Linked DNA regions of Drosophila melanogaster. The protein of the gene in region 1 interacts with the protein of each later gene in a pairwise test. Each region holds a gene or a part of one and is shown in the gene's direction. Other genes may lie near its edges.

Evidence for each region.
Region 2: the proteins of Lis-1 (region 1) and nudE interact in a two-hybrid assay, tested with the Drosophila melanogaster proteins (one study listed by BioGRID).

Annotation. Positions count from the first base shown.
Region 1 is NT_033778.4:16,177,020-16,184,874, forward strand, and holds the start of Lis-1 (Lissencephaly-1), read left to right. Parts: upstream 1-1,806; 5' UTR 1,807-1,933; intron 1,934-2,313; exon of another isoform or gene 2,314-2,353; intron 2,354-4,229; exon of another isoform or gene 4,230-4,786; intron 4,787-4,961; 5' UTR 4,962-5,033; coding exon 5,034-5,071; intron 5,072-5,138; coding exon 5,139-5,439; intron 5,440-5,497; coding exon 5,498-5,654; intron 5,655-5,717; coding exon 5,718-5,895; intron 5,896-5,963; coding exon 5,964-6,099; intron 6,100-6,166; coding exon 6,167-6,518; intron 6,519-6,583; coding exon 6,584-6,657; 3' UTR 6,658-7,855. UniProt on the Drosophila melanogaster protein: Positively regulates the activity of the minus-end directed microtubule motor protein dynein. May enhance dynein-mediated microtubule sliding by targeting dynein to the microtubule plus end.
Region 2 is NT_037436.4:9,897,431-9,902,412, forward strand, and holds nudE (nudE), read left to right. Parts: upstream 1-1,810; 5' UTR 1,811-1,925; exon of another isoform or gene 1,926-1,957; intron 1,958-2,295; 5' UTR 2,296-2,574; coding exon 2,575-2,654; intron 2,655-2,722; coding exon 2,723-2,876; intron 2,877-2,992; coding exon 2,993-3,266; intron 3,267-3,330; coding exon 3,331-3,588; coding exon of another isoform or gene 3,589-3,674; exon of another isoform or gene 3,675-3,767; intron 3,768-3,912; coding exon 3,913-4,004; intron 4,005-4,130; coding exon 4,131-4,406; 3' UTR 4,407-4,482; downstream 4,483-4,982. Other genes in the region: CG6707 (uncharacterized protein), read right to left, coding at 499-625; CG46387 (uncharacterized protein), read left to right, coding at 1,301-1,738. UniProt on the Drosophila melanogaster protein: Chaperone protein with functions in nuclear localization. Required for centrosome duplication and formation and function of the mitotic spindle.

The DNA of each region.
Region 1 (7,855 bases):
GATTTATGATCATTTCACAAATACCACACGTAAGTGGAAAATGTAAAAAAATAAACGAAATGGTCGAGATACCAAAAAAAAAAAATAAAAAGGGGGTTATCTCAATGTCGTGGCTTACACCCAAAGCCTTTTAATGCGGCGGAAATTCATGAGAATGAAGTTGGAAACTCCAGCAATGTCATGTCGCAATATTCTCTGAATTTTTTGTTGGATTTTTTGGATCCCTAGAATCTTATCAAGCCACTTCACAGGCTGGAGAAGTGGCCAGCAGATATAGATACAGATAGTAATCTGGCTTGTTGGACAACCCAATAATAATCGAACAAAATTAACGACAGATTCGCTAAAATCGCAGAGAATCGCCGACGACGATCCTCGAATTCGAATCGCGGCTCTGTTTGCAATCCCATCACGCAGTCGCAAATGGAATGGGTATAGCAATAGATATATAGATATAGATATATAGACTATATTGCCGATATGCTGAGTGCGTCATCGAAGAGCTTGCTAATCGAAAGAATTCCGTACCCTCAAATTGGCAGCACTAATTACTAATTTCAGTTGTCGCTGCCGGCAACGGAAGCAAGCGAAGAAGACAGCTCTTCTTTGGAGCAAATAAAAAAAATGACACTTTCCGATCATTATTAATGGGTTTGGTTATCAGAAAGTGTGGCAATGGAACGTTGACAATTTGCCAATGTCTGTGCCCGATTGTTTAAACAAATCGCAGCGCGCCGAGGTTTTCCAAAACACCAAGTAAGCCAATAATAACAATTTAACGTTTACAAACGAACAAGCGGCCTTTATCATCGGCATATAATCATCAGAGTTGTCGGTCTGATAACAGCCATACGGTGCTGGCTCATAAATGGCTTTCGATTTCGCCAGTTAAACGCTAATGTGGCCAAGAGGATCGGCTACCGCAGGATTAGCAAGCATTGCTAAACTGAATCATATTTAACATATATCTATAGAGCCATAGAATTGGCTGATATAGCGGCTATATCGATATAATGTAATGCGTACAAAATGGCTGATTAAATCTCAAACACTGATAACACACAACGAGTGCCCAAATTTGGCAAATGATTTACATTATTCGGCAATTTTCCCAATGAGCGATTGAGATTGTGTACGATACGCTGCACTCACAGGTGACAGATGGTTGCTAATTGTTGTTGCTGTTTCGCGAATATTTGGGCGCACCAACTATGAATAACGAATGTGTGTGTGTCGCCCGAAAATCAGTAAACTAATAACCGTTTCCGCTGAGCGATTCTCGAATACTGAGCGCCAAAGGGAGCACTCCATAAATCGGTTGTGTTGTGTTCTGGCGCTGTGTGAGCGGTGATAAGGAAAGTTTACTCCCATCGCGAATGTGTGTGTAAGATAACAACAAAGTCGGTTTACAATTAGCAAACTGCAGTGTTGACTATCGAATTGGGATGTGTTATAAATAAATAGCAATACTTATATGGCATAAATAATTGGAAACCCATTTTGTTCACTCACGGATAGGCGTTGTGGTTCCGCAAAAAAAAAGCTGACGAAGGTCCATTTCCTTATCAGCATTTTAAATAGCGCGCCAATTTTTTAAGCTGTTCACACTGCGCTTGCATGGAAGTAGGGCTTAAGTTATGGCAACTCGTTCTTTACTCAATGGTTTCAGTCCTTAGGTCTTATATAAGATATAAAAAGTATTTAGAAGTTATTATACATATTTTTATTAACATTTTTCTACATTCCTAGTCACATCGATAGCTAATCGCTGTCATCGATAGTCCCGTGATGTTTTTTGAGCTGCTTCCACTGCGGTCACACTAATCGAAGCATTTTCGTCCGCTCGTCACTTTTCTGCGTAATTCTTTTCGTATATTTCGATTAAACATAAATAAATAAGCGTAATTATAAATATATGAAATACTAAATTGTTGTAAGTAACGTTCGCTGCATAATAAGAACAAACACCGAGTCGCCGCGTTGTAAATAGAACACCCAAGCAAAATGGATTTTTCGCAACCAACCCGTGTAATGGGCTATTGGGAGAAATGAAGAAAAAAAAACGTCATATGTACAAAACTGCCAATGGCAAAGTGTTAGTTCGCGCATTATGTACCAAGCATGTCGGTTGGAGTCGGAAAATATAATATACTATATGTGCGCTTGGATATTTGTCCTTTTTCCCCATTATGCATATTGCCTTTGGGACATTTCTTTCTCTTGGCCCCCTCTCTCTATCCAAGATGGCCGTCGTAACAGTATTTTCGTTCAAACTGTTGTTGTTATTGTGTTTGTTATTGAAAAGAGAATGAAAAAACAAGCGAAAGAGTTATGCAAATTATGCACAAAAAAAGTAGTGTGTTGAACAAAAAGACGATCAGTAAATAAGTGGAGAAACGAACTATGATTACATTTTATTTACAACCACCAGAAAGCGATGACACATCGAGTGCGTTGGTGTGCGTGCGCGAGTGTGTGTGTGTGTGCGAGTGACGATGTCTGTGGATTTTCGCGCATGTTTGGAGTCCTCCCCCTCGCCAAAAGTAGAATTGATCGATTTTTAGCCAAGTCGAGTCCCCGAACTGGCCGATTCCTTGCATATATGTACTTCCCGTTCCCCCATAGGCCAACAACACCTATTACTGGGCAAACCAGTTCTGCCAATGCACAAGAAATCTCGTTTTATTTTCTTCGTTGTGCTTGTGTAGTTGTTTTTGTTTTTTTTTTACAGTTTTCCGTTTTGGGCTTTTTTGCTGCGGCATTCTTTTAGATATTCAAGACCCGTTGCGATTTCCCAGAATGTGTGGAAAGCGCTCCTGACACTGCAAATTGTTTCTATTATCTAGTGACGAGCTTTTTGCACGTTTCCAGCAGTGGGTTAAAGAAAGGCAAAGCAAAAAGTCTCGGCACTTAACGGTTAGTCCCTGCATTCGATGCCCGTCGTGGGGTTAAAGCTGGAGTTCAAAGCTTTTTTGGCTATTGTTTTCCTTTTTCCTCTCTCTTTTTGCACTTGAAATTGCAATTGCATTTGCTCGCCGGCGCGTGTGTGAGTGTGTGCTAATCAATGAAACACGCAAATAAACAAGCAAAGGCAAGTGCAAGGTCTGTTTGCCAGAGCGGGAGAGAGAGAATAAGCAAGCGAATTCAAACGAAAGGGGGAGTGAGAGGAAGAGAAAGATCCTTAAAATTCAAGACCTTACTGTGTGTGTGTGTGTGTTCGTTGCAGCCCTGGTCTATGCCCCTTGCCAACTATCTCGCTCTCACGCCCACCCAAAACCATTTAAAATTCAAATATTAAATTAACTTGAGCAAGTGCAACAATGAGAATCCCATATGATTTTTACTGATTTAGTAACATTTCTGGTGTGGCGTGCGACCCAAACGCCCCCTTCCCATTGTTTTCATTCCCCCATATGGCACACACCCACAGCTTTACGGTTACAATGCGCATGGCTTTGTGTTTCGGAATGCCTGGTTGCCACAACACAAACAGTGTTGACTTCGTTCGATGGTTTAAGGGACCCCCCACTATCTTAACCCCACTTTGCTGCCCACGCTCCACTTTTCCATTAATACCCGTGACGCTCGCAACGCTTTTCATCGATTTTCCTGGGATATATTTAGATGCGCAGTTAGAGCGCAGCCAAACATCCACCCACAATATTCAAATGATGAGCGCCAAGTGCTCGAATACAGCTGATAAGCCCTATAGGAGTAGTTCAAGTCGCGTCCAGCCGAATGACTCACGGCTATATTGAGTGGCCGTTTCGAATCGGATTCGGCTGTGAACCCGTTTGGTCAGTTTTTGCTTGTCTTTTTTTTTTGCCATATTTGCTAGTTCAAAAAAATCGTTAAATATCATTTGGCCAAAAATAATTTGGAAACGTCATTTCCTAGACCGTGATGTGTGAGCGTGTCTCTCACAGGTGGGGCCATGAAATTAGTAATGAATTCGAGATATTTAGGTCTTGTTTATGTTTTCATAACACCTATTAATTTAATGATCATATAGCCAATAACTATTTAGCACAAATAAAAGAAACAGCTGAATTAGTTTTTATGCTATCAATTGCACCTCTGGTGCCCGTGTTTGTTCTGCTTCTTCGCTCGCACGCTCTTTCGCAGCCTTATTTACCTATAAGAAGTTGCTTGAACTACCGTTAAGTCTGGCTAATTGGCTTTGCCTTGTCGTGGATTTTCCTTCGCTAGTATATTCGTTGGCAACGCGTCAGTTGTCCATCGTTATCAAGTACGCGAGATATGCGTTAGCTATTTGTTTCCGATTGCTGTTGTTATATTGCGTGCTATACCCATGATTTGGCCACCTTGAGTTGATTAAAAAGGTTTTGCAGTCAAAAAAACATGGGCACTAAACAAACAAATAGCGCACCCATATGATTTCTGCCTAATTCCATGTGAAATCGACCCTTGAACTCACCGATGACGAGTGCAGTTCGATTGCAGGGGTTACCAAATGCTGCTGCTGCTTCGCTTCAAGCATTGCCAAAGTTTCGATTATTATTTTTTTTTTGCCCACTTATTCGAGGCACGGGCAACACAAAAATGTGTGCCAGAAACCAAAGACACGATGATAATGATGATGCTCCGCTTTGGGAGAATGAAACAATATAATGACTAGACGAAAGGTGAGCATAGGAAACAGAAATACTGCTGCCAAAAAAATTCAAGAAAATGTGGGTGACTCGCCTGCCCTCCATGAGAACTCAAACGAAACTTGCTGGCATTTTTGGCATTTAGGTTTTGCGAAACCAATTTCCTGTCCCAGGTACATCAAATCATCATATGATTATACAGTAGAAGTTCGATAGATGAACCAAAAATTATACATAACTCTGTCTAACGAAATGGTTTGCAAGATATGTATATAGGAAATATATCTTGTATCTGACTGTGGTAAGAACTGCTGTACACATATTGAATGTCTACCTTTTCCATTGCAGAATTGCAAGAGTTGAAGGCGGATAACCGAATTGCGAACGAGAGAAGCAAAACAAGCCAAATCGGAAAACAGTATGAAAATGGTGTTGTCGCAGCGGCAGCGCGAGGAGCTGTAAGTCCCAGTCGTCTTATATAACTATTACCCCATGAACTAATCCTTTTAATTGTATCGCCATCAGTAACCAAGCGATTGCCGATTATCTGGGCTCAAATGGCTACGCCGACTCATTGGAGACCTTCCGCAAGGAGGCCGATCTCAGCACAGAAGTGGAAAAGAAATTTGGCGGACTGTTGGAAAAGAAGTGGACGTCCGTGATTCGGCTGCAGAAGAAAGTGATGGAACTAGAGGCTAAGCTCACTGAAGCTGAGAAGGAGGTCATCGAGGGGGCGCCCACAAAGAACAAACGGACGCCTGGCGAGTGGATACCTCGGCCGCCAGAGAAGTTCTCCCTGACCGGTCATCGTGCCAGCATAACGAGGGTAAGTTGAGAAGTTAACAAATTAATAAACATTTTACATTTACATTTTATAATTGCAGGTAATTTTCCACCCCATCTTTGCTCTTATGGTTTCCGCATCCGAAGACGCCACCATTAGGATTTGGGACTTCGAAACTGGCGAGTACGAACGCAGCCTGAAGGGACACACGGACTCTGTGCAGGATGTCGCATTTGATGCCCAGGGCAAGCTTTTGGGTAAGATCTTGCCATAGTTGAATATATAGTAAAACCAATTTAATTTTGCTTTAATTGCAACAGCCTCCTGCAGCGCGGACTTATCCATCAAATTGTGGGATTTCCAGCAGAGCTACGAGTGTATCAAAACTATGCATGGTCACGATCACAATGTCTCGTCGGTGGCCTTTGTGCCGGCCGGAGATTATGTACTCTCTGCATCCCGGGACCGCACTATTAAAATGTGGGAGGTGGCCACAGGGTGAGTTAAAGAAAAAGGACATTTCGTTTAAGGGATAATATGACCAACATGTGACTTCTCATCCTCAGCTACTGTGTGAAAACCTACACAGGCCATCGAGAGTGGGTGCGAATGGTGCGAGTGCACATCGAAGGCAGCATCTTTGCCACATGCTCAAATGATCAGACAATACGTGTTTGGTTGACGAATTCAAAAGACTGCAAGGTGAGCATTGCCATGTGCAGCTTCTGCTGGCAATGAAGAGTCTAACGACGGTTTGATTCTTCTGCAGGTTGAATTACGCGATCATGAGCATACTGTGGAGTGCATTGCCTGGGCGCCGGAAGCCGCAGCCTCTGCGATAAACGAGGCAGCCGGAGCAGACAACAAGAAGGGCCATCACCAGGGCCCGTTCCTGGCCTCCGGCTCTCGCGACAAAACCATTCGCATTTGGGACGTGAGCGTCGGCCTGTGCCTGCTTACCCTGAGTGGCCATGACAATTGGGTGCGTGGCCTGGCATTCCATCCTGGTGGCAAATACTTGGTGTCGGCCAGCGATGACAAGACCATTCGGGTGTGGGACTTGCGCAACAAGCGATGCATGAAGACGCTATACGCGCATCAGCATTTCTGCACCTCCATAGGTGGGTCCACACAAGGCATTGTGTGTATGAACTATATATTTTAATTGTCATCCGTTTTCTTGCAGATTTTCACAAAGCGCATCCGTACGTAATTAGCGGTAGCGTAGATCAAACAGTAAAGGTCTGGGAATGTCGTTAAATTAAGGAAGAATCGGCAAGGGTTCTGCTTACTTCTCAATTTAAACATAAATAAAGCTAATATATTAAATCACATACCCACACAACACGCCCATACACGAGCAGTCTCGGCCACCTCCGCGGAAGTTTATTTTCCAGACGCTTTCTGTGTCAGCGTAAAATGAACATATTGTATTTTAAAACTGAATGAAACTGGCGAAAACGAATTATTTATTTAATTGTACGACCTTCTAACTAAACTAACTACCTACCTACTATACAAAGTACATAAACAAAATGCCCAAAAAATACATACATACGATTATCGTTTAAAGTTAATGCCGCCCTCCTTTATAAACCAGCATTGGCTCGCTAAGCAAACGGGCATCCTAACTTGAATTTGTCGTAGAATTCGATGAGAATGGAACGTATTTACAATGGTAAACTGTATTTCATTCGACGGCTAATACCATGTGTACCATGTGGCGCAGAAATGTTTTTCCATCCACAAATGTACCCGAGCACTCGCACTCACTTGAAAAAAATTCAATGACGTTGATGTGTTTTAGTGTTTGCAAAATGTATGCATAATAATAGCTAAATTCACTGGAAAATTTATATAAGCAAGGAAGTATTTCAACATCTAAGAAAACTTGTACTCACAAAGAGAAGTTTGTTAATGAGAATTACTTGGAGAGGAGTGCAACATGCTTTTTATCATAATTGAGGTAGTTTTAACGATAACAGTTTGCTTCTTTTAACCATATTCACTTTACACAATTCCTGTTTTGTGTTCTTTTTCGCGAAAGGATCTTCAACAAAAACAAATACCTTTCAAAATGCTTACAAATTTAAGTTGGCTTTAAGTTCAAAATATAATTTACTTTTACGGTTTACATAGTAGAAAAATGCTGCAAATTTATTTGTAATTGTTTATTTAAGAGCAACGGCAAAAAATATACCTATATATAAATATACTATAAATAATTATTTGTGCAAAACCGAGAAATCATATAGATGTATCTGAGAAAACAAAAACAAAACGCAGAAAAATCCAACAATTAGAAGAAACGATTTTTCGGATTCAAAGAAATCTAATTATTGAAAACAATAAAAACTTGCTTCTTCAAGAAACCAGAAAAAAATATGTTTATACCCAGAACTAAAAATGGTGGATTTCTGTCAAGGGTATAATTAATGTATTGCCTGCGATGTCAAAT
Region 2 (4,982 bases), on another chromosome or scaffold:
ACAAAGGCGGTGCAAAAATTTTGCCGATACCGGCGTCGAGTAACTAACTACAATCGATCTTTACATTTTTGGCAGCTCTTCACAATTTCGTGATAAAATTACATTTTTTTTATGGTGTACGTGGCCCATTTGATATTTAGGCCAATAAGAAAATTTTATATTAGGTTGTAAATTTTTGGTAATACCAATAATACTGGGCCCTATTAAAAAATAAAAAAATGGCAGATAATTTAAAATGGCATTTGGGCACCACATATCCTATCAGTTTTTCTTTCTGTGCAGTCCCATTGCTCTCCCCCCGCACCAAACCACACGCATTTATGACTCAGTTGGGTGAAGTGTGAAAATGCCAAATGAGACGGCGAGCAGACAACTCGGAATCACGGCGTTGGATCCGGATAAGTGGAGCGCCCGCACACTTGTTGGGCTTCCAATGGGTTGCCCGCCCGGCTGATTGGATGCGGGTTGAATGCCCGGCTTTACAGTAACGATACGCACCGTCCTCGTTTGTGGCCACCGATGAGTTGCTGCCGGGATTATCGGCACCCTCGTCCACGGCGTCCACGGAATTGTAGCCATTGCCGTCGTCCTTGTTGATCAGGCTTTGTCGCTCTGGATCCGCCATTGTGGACTATCTTCCGATAAATGGATATTTATATGTGTGGACTATAATCTCTATATGCTGGAGCAATTCCCGTTAGGCTGCACTTCCAGTTGCCTTTGTTTTGTTGTTGCTGTTGCTGCGGGGGCTGCTGCAACGCGTTGATTTCAACTGGAAAATGAGTGGGAAATCCAATAGTTTAGTTGCTGTGCCACATAATTTCGGACGCAACGAGCTCTTTGTTCACGATTGCCGCAGTAGTTTGGTTTTTTTTTTCTTCGTTCGTCGCGGTTTTCACTCGCGTTGATTGAAACACATCCTCCCTTTTTTCACTTTTCGGCATGCGCCGCAATTAATCAATTCGATGATGCTGCATGTGCAACGCCCACGCGAGCTCGATTGTCGCACTCACACAGTTGACATTTGGTTATAATACTGGCAATTGCGTTAATTGTTTAACAATTGCTGGCCATAATTGTGCTATATTTTACCTTATTTTTGTTGAAAATGCACTGCAGTCGCTGCGATCTGGCCACACTCTGGCTAGCTATCTGGCAACGATGTCCCGTTTGAGATTTTTCAGTTGCGGCCCTGCCAGGGAGTTGCCACATCGTTGTACTTGGTAAAGAACCAGAAACAGATCAGCGAAAAATTGTTCATTTTTGGAACCAAAACAATCCAGCGCGGCTTAAAACAAATATGTCTAAAATCACGAAAAACTCCAATAAAATTGACAATAAGGATTCTGTAAGCGGGGAAGGCTCAAATAGTGGGGACGATAACACGTCCACAAGTTCAAGTGACTTTGAAACAAGCAGAAAACACAAACTACGCCGCAAATCCTGTCGAAATGTATCATATCATTATCATGCGCTGCCCATGCGCGTAGTTGGCGAAAATGTTGCAGCACTGCCACAAACTCCCAGCTCCACTCGTGATTTAACACTAAGCTCAGCTCAAATAATTGAAGATAGTTCCGACTCTGAGTTTCATATTTCGGACGATACCAGCAACGATGCGCCGGCCAACAAATCGATAACGTTCACAGCACGTCCATTAGAGAAATATGATTTGGAATATATAAGAAAACTACGTAAACGCAAAAAAAAGCCGAGTAAAACTTTATATGTTGATTAAATTTCAAATAACAACTGTTGACCAGGGCTGGAAACGGCAAATGCCCATCTATTGGCCAACACTGGCAACCCAAGCCAGGGTTGGCTTGTGCGTTTTTGGAGTAGTGGTAAATTTTTACGAGCATAACTATTTACACTGATTTTATGTAAATAAAACAAACAAAACGTAGCAAAATTAAGTGCAAAGTGTAAGTAGTAAATGTGGACAGTCGTGCTGTATAAAATTCTAGGTATAAACACTGGAATTCTACGAAAAAATCACCGATGATTTCATTTCCATGCAGTGCGTTGTTGTATGGGAAACTTCGTCGTAGCTATTTGTTGTTGTTGTTGTTGCTGCTGCTCATCACCATCATCCTCGTTGTTTTCGTTGTTGTTGCCGCAGCAGCTGCGTCACAAAAATGAGTTTTGTTTAATTTGATTTTATTTACATTTGATATGGACAAAACCGACTGCCCTTTTAGGGCATCGAACAAGAACAACAGCAACAGTAACTACAAAATTCAGGGCAAACACCTGTTCCTAATTGATTTTTCACTTTTCTTCGCCGACTTCTAGTCTATTCACCACCCCCAACACACAAAACAAAAAAAAAGTAAAACTACGACTTGAACAACAACTGTGTTTTGGCATTTTAATCACAGCAATTAAAAACAAAGCAGCCAAAAAACACGAATAAATAACCCAAACAGTAATAGACCAACCGTAGTACATAGCATTGTTCAGAAATTAAAAGTTAAATCAATTCGAACGAACGAAATTACAAACCCATTTTGACCGCCGATTAGTACACAAAAACCAGAAAAAGGAGTTAGCAGCTAAGGAAAATTTGCAGAAATGGAGTCGCCCCCGATGTTCAATAGTGTGGAAGATGAGTGCAGATATTGGAAGGAACGATCTAAGCAGTACCACAAAGAGTAAGTGCCCATCCCTATTACAGTCTCCGAAATCAGCCATATAGCCTAGTTTTACTTTTAATTTTCAGGTGGACAGACGTGAAACAGGAGTACGACGAGTTTGTGGAGCAGTCCCGCGAAATGGAAATAGAAATGGACGCCACTCTGGACCAGAAGCAGAGTATAATCAAAGATCTCACAGCCAAACTCACAATGTTTGAGCGGGAAAACGAGTCTCTCAAGGTAGCTATAAGCTAAGCCCGATTTACACAAACTGAGCTTAATTCTTAGACTCAGTTTGCGTATATGTGGCTTTGAGCTCCCGACAAGATTAGTCTTTACAACTATTTCATTCTCAGCTCAAGTTGGAATCGCATGGCATCGATATGTCAAACATGGAGAAACAGCTGGAAACGGTGAAGAAGGATCGCGACACCATGAAGGTGTACCTGCGGCAGCTGGAGCAGAAAAACGACGATTTGGAACGTGCCCATCGCATACTTAACGAAAGCATAGAGAATTTCGAGAAGATGCTGGATCAGGCCTACGAGAAGAACGCCCTTCTGGAGCTGGAAGTGGATGAAAAGGGATTGCTGCAGGAAAAACTACAGCGATTAATGGATGAGACGAGAGGTGGATGCATCTATACCAGATGTCCAGCACAGACTTTAAAACTAATTCATCAAATCTATTGCAGATCTCAAACAAGAGCTGAACGTCAAGTCACGCTTTACCCCAGTGGTCAATGGAACGAGCGTTCCCACGGCAAACGACACAAATACGGTCAACAGCTCGATGAACTCGTCCGCCTCGCTGCCAAATGGTATTGTTGCCAATGGCGAATTGGTAAAACACGACAATGCTGTCGCCACAAGAGCCACCAGCGTCAGCGTCAACGCCCTCAATGGCAGTTTAGTTAATAGAAACGAATATAACCAGCAGCATTCGCTTAAGAGTAAGATACTAAGTTCCCTAAAGAAAACCAGACGCGCGCTAAAACTGTCCAAGACGAATCGCCAAACGTTCAAGCCATGCATTTAGTATTGTTTTTCCATTTGTTTCTTTTTTACTTGTTAACCAAAAAATGTAGCCCGCTTAAGTTCCTCATAATTTGTAATTGTATTGTAAATTATTAAAATTAAGAGCCCAAATGTGACGAAAGAGTTTGCAACATTTCTTGTAGGCGATTTTTGTACGATTTGTGTTTGCGTCTGTAGCTAGTAGTTGACCTAACTAACCTCTCGACTAACATGCTGTGTACGTGTGCTTCCTCTTGCAGATCCCGAGAATCAAATCAATGGCAATTCCATGAACCCCAGCTCCCGCACAACGGCGCTCAACATTGTGGCCGACATGTTAAGAAAACTAAACGTAAGTCCCTCCGCAAACTATAAGTCCAGCATGCCATCCTACCTCATCCATTGTTTCGTATGTACATATGATCCTTGAACCCTTCACTCCCACCATCGGCTTATGTGTTTTTCCCTATGTTTTTAGTGGGACAAGGCACTGCTATGTCCCGAGTGCGAAAAGTTTCGCTGCATGTGTGAGCGCCCGGCAAGTGTGCAGCCGCCGCCGCCGCCATCGGCCAGCGAGGCAAGTCTTTTTCGCCGCGCCTTTGGCGGCAGCAGCAGCTCAGTGGCCACCAGTAGCGCCCAGTCCACGCCCACCAGCGATTGCAGCTCCGCCGGAAGCCTCAGTGCGGGCTCAAACATTTTTAGGCGCTTCGCCGAGCGCATGCGAAACTCGCCGGACGCCAGCCTGCCGCTCTGACAATGCGCTCGGAACTTTAAGGCTAATTTTAGTTGCCCTCCGCTTGCATTTATTAATTGCATTGGTTAATAAATACAAAATTTATTTGTACCTTATTTTATGTTCTTTGTTTTTGTTCGTTATGATTTATTCAGTTTCGAAAGCGCATAATAACTTGGCTTGCTGACTAAACTCTGCACTGGGCAAACCGTTGCGAAATGAAATTTTCATTAATTTATTTATTATATGATGTGCCCAAATCCTTCTATAGTTAATTTTTCATATAGTTCACTGACTGTTGCTTAATCCGCTCTCGTTTTGTGTTTTTTTTTTAGGCGATGGAGACGAAACTGAAGACGTACCGCGAGAATGGTCAGCCAATGCCGCAGCGACACCGCTCCTCCCAGCAATCCACACATCCGGCGCTGGCCGGACTGCCTTGCTTCTCGCTGGATGCCGAGTAGTGTGGATTCTGCAGTTCAGCGTGATCCACAAACCCCAAATCCGAAACCCAATCACCTAGGGCGGGATACTGTTCAGTTGGCTTTACGTTTACGTTACGTTACTTTAATGTTACTGTTCGCATTAATTAAGTTT